2 linked regions of the Canis lupus familiaris genome follow. The protein of the gene in region 1 interacts with the protein of each later gene in a biochemical or structural test. Links are inferred from orthologs where the notes say so. Each region holds a gene or a part of one and is shown in the gene's direction. Other genes may lie near its edges.

What was found. The genes of interacting proteins can lie anywhere in the genome.
Region 2: the proteins of YWHAQ (region 1) and CDC25B form a complex in vitro, tested with the Homo sapiens proteins (2 studies listed by BioGRID). The link is inferred for Canis lupus familiaris from reciprocal best matches to the Homo sapiens genes YWHAQ and CDC25B.

What each region holds. Positions count from the first base shown.
Region 1 is NC_049238.1:6,670,539-6,674,013, reverse strand, and holds part of YWHAQ (14-3-3 protein theta), read left to right. Parts: intron 1-832; coding exon 833-956; intron 957-3,327; coding exon 3,328-3,475. UniProt on the Homo sapiens protein: Adapter protein implicated in the regulation of a large spectrum of both general and specialized signaling pathways. Binds to a large number of partners, usually by recognition of a phosphoserine or phosphothreonine motif.
Region 2 is NC_049245.1:18,011,404-18,015,676, reverse strand, and holds the start of CDC25B (M-phase inducer phosphatase 2), read left to right. Parts: upstream 1-1,473; 5' UTR 1,474-1,508; coding exon 1,509-1,708; intron 1,709-2,560; coding exon 2,561-2,670; intron 2,671-3,295; coding exon 3,296-3,347; intron 3,348-4,273. UniProt on the Homo sapiens protein: Tyrosine protein phosphatase which functions as a dosage-dependent inducer of mitotic progression. Directly dephosphorylates CDK1 and stimulates its kinase activity.

The sequences.
Region 1 (3,475 bases):
AAGTACTTTCTCTTGATCCCTGTATTTACCCTTATTTTGGATGAGCAGTAGTCTGTAAGAGACACTGAACAGCCAGCCCTGCTCTGAGCCATGCTGACTTACTTGTTCTGTGATTATATTCTTCATACTTGATGTCTTAAACATTTTGTTTCCCTTCTTTAAAATGATTGTGCCTGGCTGGCTCAGTCAGTAGAGCACGTGACTCTTGATTTGGGGGTTATGAGTTTGAGGCCCACGTTGAGTGCAGAGATAACTTATACACACACAAACACACAAACATGTAAAACTAAAAAAAAGCTGATTGCACATGCACATTTCTGAACTGATACATTCCTACTGTTCCTTCTTAACAAGTCAGAAATATCCCTTCAGGGAAATCCTGTTTAGCTAGTGGCCACCTCTAGCACAGCCAGATGCTCTCTCTGTGGTGCTACTATCCTAGATAAAGGATAAACAAGATAATGTTTCTGTATCTTACTTAAGACTGTGAGCTCCTTGAGGGCAAGAACTTTGTGTTTTCTTTATATCCCCTCTGGCCAAATACAGTGCCTGGCACCCAGCCAGTACCAAGAAATGCTTACTTGAATGAATGGATGAGTGAATAGACAAGCTCTTTATATTTAGTGTTTGATGTAACCTAGCTTTATTAGAAACTATGACTTGCTATAGGCCAAAGCATTCAACTGATGACAACTACATGACCCCTGCTCTCAGTCCATGCTTCAAGTCCAAGGTGGAATGGTTGTAGTTACTGTGGTAGTCCTTCATTGTGCTTACCTGTAATAAAATAGCTTTTTATTGGTACCTAATACTTTATCTTCCTTCTTTTCAGGAATTGTTGGATAAGTATTTAATAGCCAACGCAACTAATCCAGAGAGTAAGGTCTTCTATCTGAAAATGAAGGGAGATTATTTTCGGTACCTTGCTGAAGTTGCGTGTGGTGATGATCGAAAACGTAAGTATGTTTGGTTTATAGGTAAAGTTAAAAAAGGAAGGGAGGATAAGTGGGACACTGTGACAGTAGTCGCTATGTAATCTCCAGGTCCTCTGTAACTTTTTAAAAAATCTTGGAATCTACATACGATAAAATTAATGTAATGTGACCTTAATGTTCTAAAAAATGAAAATAGCCATGAATTTACATAATGTACTGTTTTTGAAAAATTAAACTCAAATTCTGGTGATAATCTGCTAAGATATTATTTAAAAGGCTTAATCTTGGGCGCCTGGGTGGCTCAGTCATTCAGCTTCCTACTCTTGATCTCAGCTCAGATCTGGATCTTTACAGTTGTGAGTTCAGGTCCTATGCTGGGCTCCACACTCAGTGTGAAAAATAATAATAATAAAGAAAAAATAAGAGAGGCTTATTATTACTCTTTTATACTTTAGAGTTTGGTGAAGCATATTTTTTAGCCCCCTAGTTATTTGCATATGCTTTGAGAGTTTGTGCTGTTACATGGCCTTTTGTGTCATCGTACCTTGAAACTTACTGGAAATTACAAAGAGAATATAGAAACAGCATGTTATGCTTTTTCTGTTTGACAATTTATTAACTACCTATTTTGAAGGATCATTACATTGACTACCAATACTTACAAGACCAAATTTCTGAGGAAGAGAGGTGAGTGAGAGTTTTGCTGGTATATAGTTTGTCATAGAAAATATAGATCTGGGAAAGAGAATAAATGAATTGCTAGAGTTGATTGTAAAAAGAAAATCAAAGCAATTTATTACTAGTGGACTTAGCCTCCTGGAGTATTAGTAGCTGAGTACAAGTCAGGTCCTATTAAATTTTGTGTATGTGCCTGCTATCATATTTATCAAATTCTAGTTAGAATTTTCACCCAATTCCTTATTTCTGGTAGGTTTATTAATTTGTTTTTAATTTTGCCCCATCCAAAAAGAGTGTACTTTTTCAAGTAGTTACTGTGGCTTCCTACCCTCAAAGAGGTACTAACTGAAAGTGGAACAGTTTTACCACCCCAAATATCAGTGTAATTGAAGATACAAAGAGAAAACTATTGCATCCTACTGTAACAATTTGTATACTAAACTTATTGATGTATAATTTCTGTTGTCATAAAGATAAGCAAAGCTGAAAGTAACAGATATTTGCAAGTCACAAGGATATCTTTGGGAGACTGGGACATAGCCCCAGCATTAATCTTATTTAACCCTTTCTAGCTTCCTGGCATTTCTATCCCTATCCATAGAATACTCCGGTAGACTGGGACTCATAGTCTGTATTTACAGCTTAGGAGCTGAGACCCCTTACTGCTACTCATTACAGTACTTCCTTAAATGCCAAACAGCAAGAACTCCTTACTATGTGAGGGCTCTACCAGCTATATTTAGATTAATAAGTGTGCCATTTCTGAAGAAGGAAAAATCCTTATATTCAGGCCATAAAAAGGTTAACTTTACATTTCTATTAGAGGAGTATTTCTAAAGCTGTAATGGGCCAGTGGTCTCATTGAGAAAACCTACCTACTCTTTTGAAAGCATGGCTATAGTCAGATTAGAATTGGTAACAATCACTGAACAGCTTTTTTCAGGAAGGTAACCTTTTTATTAGGCCAGTAATCAATCTCTTGTCAGAGCAGATTTTATTTTGTATTTTGACACTTTTATATTGCCTTTTACATAATACATCTTGATACCAAGGATTAGTATTGTTTTTACAAATAAGTCACAAAAAAAGAGATTTTGGTGGTATGATCTTTGTAAAGTGTTTTCATGATTTTGAGAAGAGATAGCCAAAAATTTTTTCTAGCTTTATTGAAGTATTATTGACGTGTATCGGTGAAATTATTTTTAATTGCTGCATTTCCAATTAGTAAAATTAAAAGATACGGAAAAAGAAAATTGTTTGAGTCACAGATCTGGAAAAATCCAATTGCACTATCTCATATTGGGTTTTTTAAAGCTGATTATAAGCAAGCAACATGGGACGCCTGGGTAGCTCAGCAGTTGAGCATCTGCCTTCAGCTCAGGGCGTGATCCTGGGTCCAGGGATCAAGTCCCACATTGGGCTCCCTGCAGGGAGCCTGCTTCTCCTTCTTCCTGTGTGTCTGCCTCTTTCTCTGTCTCTCATGAATAAATAAATAAAATCTTTAAAAAAATAAAAAAAGCAACATTATAAACTAGTTTCTCCATAAGCTGGTATGAGGTAATGTTTTCAGTTTGCTACTATGGTTTTAAAGGAAGGCCACAGAGAAAAATCCAGCTCTGCATGAGGTAGTAGCATAAGTTAAAGGTTAATATGCTGTATACTTGATGGATATTTTCAGTATTGTGCTTCTTTTGTCTCTCCCCCCCCCTCACAGAAACGATAGATAATTCCCAAGGAGCTTACCAAGAGGCTTTTGATATAAGCAAGAAAGAGATGCAACCTACACACCCCATTCGCCTGGGGCTGGCTCTTAACTTTTCTGTATTTTACTACGAGATCCTTAATAACCCAGAGCTTGCCTG
Region 2 (4,273 bases), on another chromosome or scaffold:
ATGAAGCATAGCACCTGACACATCACAGAAGCTGAGAAAAATGTTGGGTGAAGGAAAAGTCATGATCTGCACCATCCTACCCCTCTTACATAGGACTGGGGTCTTTGTATCCCCTTCTTCCACAAGTCCCCTAGCCCACTCAGCCCCACACAGGCCAGGCCTTCCCTTCTGCCACTCCCACCCACTGCCCGTGGAACCAGAGGGATGAGGCTGCAGAGAAGGGAAGCAAAGCCTCAGTTCCTGCTTTCCTGAGCTGTGTTCCACCCAGCCAGAGGCCATCTCCTTGCTGGGGAGATGAGATGCAGAAGCACTTACTGCTAATTCACTTTTTACTGTAGCCTTCCAGGGCTCATTCCAGGAAAGCAGGATTGCTGAAAAGTCATCAGTTATAAGATGCTCATTTTAAACTAGTGACAGATTCCGTTTCCTTGGTCATCAAAGAAATACCAATTAAACAATGTGATGCCCTCGACATCACATTAGCCAAACCGTCAGTGGGCATGAGATTATTTCCATAACTTGGTTCTGAGGTTGGAACACTTTCTTTGGCCCCCGTCGCCAAAACCTCAGCCATTAGAGCCTCCACTGAGACTGCTGGAGAAAACAAGACCCCCTGGGGTCATCTGTAACCCGGGGCCCCATGAGTTACACGTAGGTCCCCACCTCGGGTCTACCTCCAGTGCCGGGTGTGTGGGGAGGCCCCGCTGGCTACTGACGCTTCACGGACACAGCGCGCTGCCAGCTGCAGGAGCGCCGGGGGTGAATTTTTGCTCTATCACTTGCCTTGGGTGACCTTGAACGAGTTAATGAACTTCTTCACGCCTCAACATCCGAGTGGATGATAAAGTGGAGTGGCGAACACTGACCGCACGGTGAAGCCGCGGAGTGGAGCCTCTCACGGTGCCTGGCGGTGAGACTGTAGGTGGTGTTAAATCTCGGGGGGTGGGGGGAGAGGTCCCTCTGAGGCCACCCCAGCAGGTGTGGCTTCCCCAGGGACTTTCTGCACCGAGGGTAACTCCAGACCACGTCCCGAGAGGCAGAATTTGGGAAGCCAGGATCCTCGAGTCCTGGCTGGGGGAGCGACAGGACGGTGCGTGGAGGCTTCAGAGGTTCCCCAATTCCTTAGCCGCACCCGAAGCCGGGAACTGGGCTGGGCCGGGCTGGTCAGCCTCCGCGCCTTCCACCCCCGGCCCCGCCCTCGGCCCCGCCCTCCCCTACCCCGCGCCCCCATTGGCGGCGTCCGGCGGCGCGGCCGCTGTTATTTTTCGAATATATAAGGAGGTGGAGGTGGCAGCTGCTGCCGAGAGGCTTCCCGGACGGGCGGTCGGTCCCCGCGTCCCTCCACCCCGCCCCACCCTCCCCGCTTCCCTCTCCTCCCTCCTCCCTCGCTCCGGCCCCGAGGCTCTCCCCCCCCCCCCCGGGCCTGCTCCCCACCTCGTCCCGGGCAGCTGTGCCCCGCGTCGCCCCGCGCCCGGCCCTCCCGCCTGCCTCCTGCGGGCCCCGCCGCGATGGAGCTGCCCCAGCCGGAGCCCGCGCCCGCTCCGGCTCTCAGTCCGGTCTGCCTGGGCCGTGGAGCCGAGCGTCCCCGCCACCTCCTGGGCCTCCAGACGGGAGCTCACGGCCTCGTGGGGTCCCCGGAGCGCGCGGCCGCTTCCTCGCCGGTCACCACCCTCACCCAGACCATGCACAACCTCGCGGGGCTCGGCAGGTAGGGCGCCCCACCGACGCTGGGTGTGGGGTGAGGCCGGCACTAGGGTGTTGGTCCCTGGCCTCCTGTGGACCCCCGCGTGGGAGCCGAATCTGAGAAGCGGAGTGGGGAGGTGTCCTGGGGAGTGACTGGTTCAGGGATCTGGGACTAGGGCGATGAGGCCGGGTCTGTGCTGCCCACACCCTCCAGGTGGCTTGCTCCTGGCAGCGCGAGCCTCTGGAGACACCCGTCCCACCTACCACCCCCACACACACCCTCATGTGCCTCCACCATGCTGTCTCTCTAATCTCTGCCCTAACCACCACTATTTTGCCCCAGATAGTGGATCCTGAGCCTGGAGTGGGAAGTTGAGGGTGGCAGAGGAGCCTGGTTCTCTTATGTCCTCCTGTCTGTGCCCCTGCTCCCTCCACCCCCAGTTCTTTCTGGAGGTTAAGGGTTAAACACTGATCCTGCTTCCTGAGCAACCTGCAGTGTCCAGGCTGGGTTGCCCTCAGCAGCAGTGGAGAGCTAAGTCTTGCCCTTGCTCCAGAAAGGCTTGTGGATGAGTAGGGGTCTGAGGGGTTCCGGGAAGGGGCTACTCTGCTGCCATCCCCCAGAATGGCCCTCAACCTACCTACTTGCTCTTGCCCCGGGCTCACCTCCTGAGGAACCCAAGAGGACCTTTCTTAATAAAGAAAAGCTACTTAGGGCCTCTGCAGAAGGCCTGAAAAGAGGGCAAGACCCTCAGGGCCATTGCCTCCCTGGGGCAATGGTGGGCCCTTCAGAGGTAGGTGGGTGGTGGGCACATAGGCCAGCCAGCCCTCAAGCCCCAGTTTACCTTCCTCCTTCCCTGGGTCCCTGTTGCCTTCTCAGTGAGACCCCAAAGCGGCAGGTGGGCAGCCTGCTCACAAGCCTATCCCTGTCCCGGAGGCGGGCATCTGAATCCTCCCTGTCGTCTGAGTCTTCTGAATCTTCTGATGCAGGTGAGGCTCAGGGGTGCCAGGGGACTTAGGGGGGCTGCCTGAGTCTCTCCACTTCCTTGCTGATCAGACTAACATTTCCCCTACAACCTGGTGGGTGCAGGAGCCTCCACCTGCTCACCCCTGTTGGGGCTCACCACACCCAGCCCAGACTGGCTGAGCGGGCAGTAGGGTGGGGCCCTCTGGGGGAGATGAGATCTTACCTATTTAAAACCAGGCGCCAAAGTCCCTGAACCACAGCCCCACCTGGGAGGCATCAGGGCTGAAAGTTGGTCATTTTATAGCGTTCACTTGCCTTCAGCTGTAACCTTTTCCTTTAAAAAAGCTGTTATCTCTTCTAAAACATATTGCTTTAAACCAGTTCAAGTAAAATGCTTAGCAAAGTTTTGGTTTAAAACCTATACCGAGGAGTTTCCCTAGTAAACAGGGAGTGGAGCCTTGCACGATTTCAGGGGCAGTGTGTCAGCCCTTGAGGTTCATGCATGGGTTTCTGTTTCACTATTTTTAAGTGTGTCAAGATCTAAAATAGAAACTGGTTTCTCCCTTTTCTGAATAGAGTTGGGACATGGTGGGGGAATATGTGCAGAAGATGCCACCACTTTTAGACCAAAGTGCTCTGTCCCCCCAGGTCTCTGTATGGATTCCCCCAGCCCCATGGATCCCCAGATGGCAGAGCAGACGTGAGTAGAGAAAAGAGATCCCCACTACCAAGGAGTTGGCCCCTGCCTTTGGGAATCTTGGTTCCAGCATAAACCCACTGGGGAAGTCTGGGAGAGTGGACAGACCCTTCTAATCTGTGTGGTGTTGGGGGGTGGGGGGGGACTCGTTGATCTCAAGTCCTGAGATTCTGCTTCCTGTCTCAGAGAAGGGCCTGGTCCCAAAGGAGCAGCTGAGTGTGGGCTCAGGGCCAGGTAGTGGGGACAGTCGCTACTGGGAGCAGTGGATACTTCAGCCAGCTCTTGGCCTATGGGATATAGGCCTGGTGTGTGTCCTGTTTTTCTTTTGCCTTTACACATGTTTTGTTTGTTTTTTTCTGTGAAATATCACTATTTTAAGTTATGCTCCAACCAGTTCAAAACTTTTAATTCACTGTAGTCCAAACAAAACAGTTGCTGCAGGTTGGTTCAGCCCTTGGCTGCCCTCTCAGCAACCTCTGCCTTCAGTGACACTTAACCCTTCTGGCCAACCCCTGTTCCAGGCCCTTTGTGAGAGAGAATGGAGAGGGCCTTCTGCTCAGGACAGATCCTTACCCCTCGGTTGTGGGGCGTGAGTAGTATCTCCCGGATCACAGCTGTTCCCATCCAGCTGTTAGAGCCCCAGCAGGAAGAGCAGCTGCCAGGCAATAGTGGGGACAGCTGGGCATCCCCAAACTGGGCTCAGGGACTATGGCTTTGGGGTTAGGGTAGTGGCTGTCTTTCCTCCCACTGCCTTTGATTAGACTGGGCTGGGCCACAGGGTTTGTTCACAAACAGGAAACAGGGAGAGAACTCGGTGGGGGTGGGGGGGGGGTGGGCAGGGGAACTGCAGGTTGGGTTTTGGTGGCAACACAGAACTGTTCCTGCTTAACTCACGAGGCCCAGGTGCAGATTGGAAACCAAGCCAATAA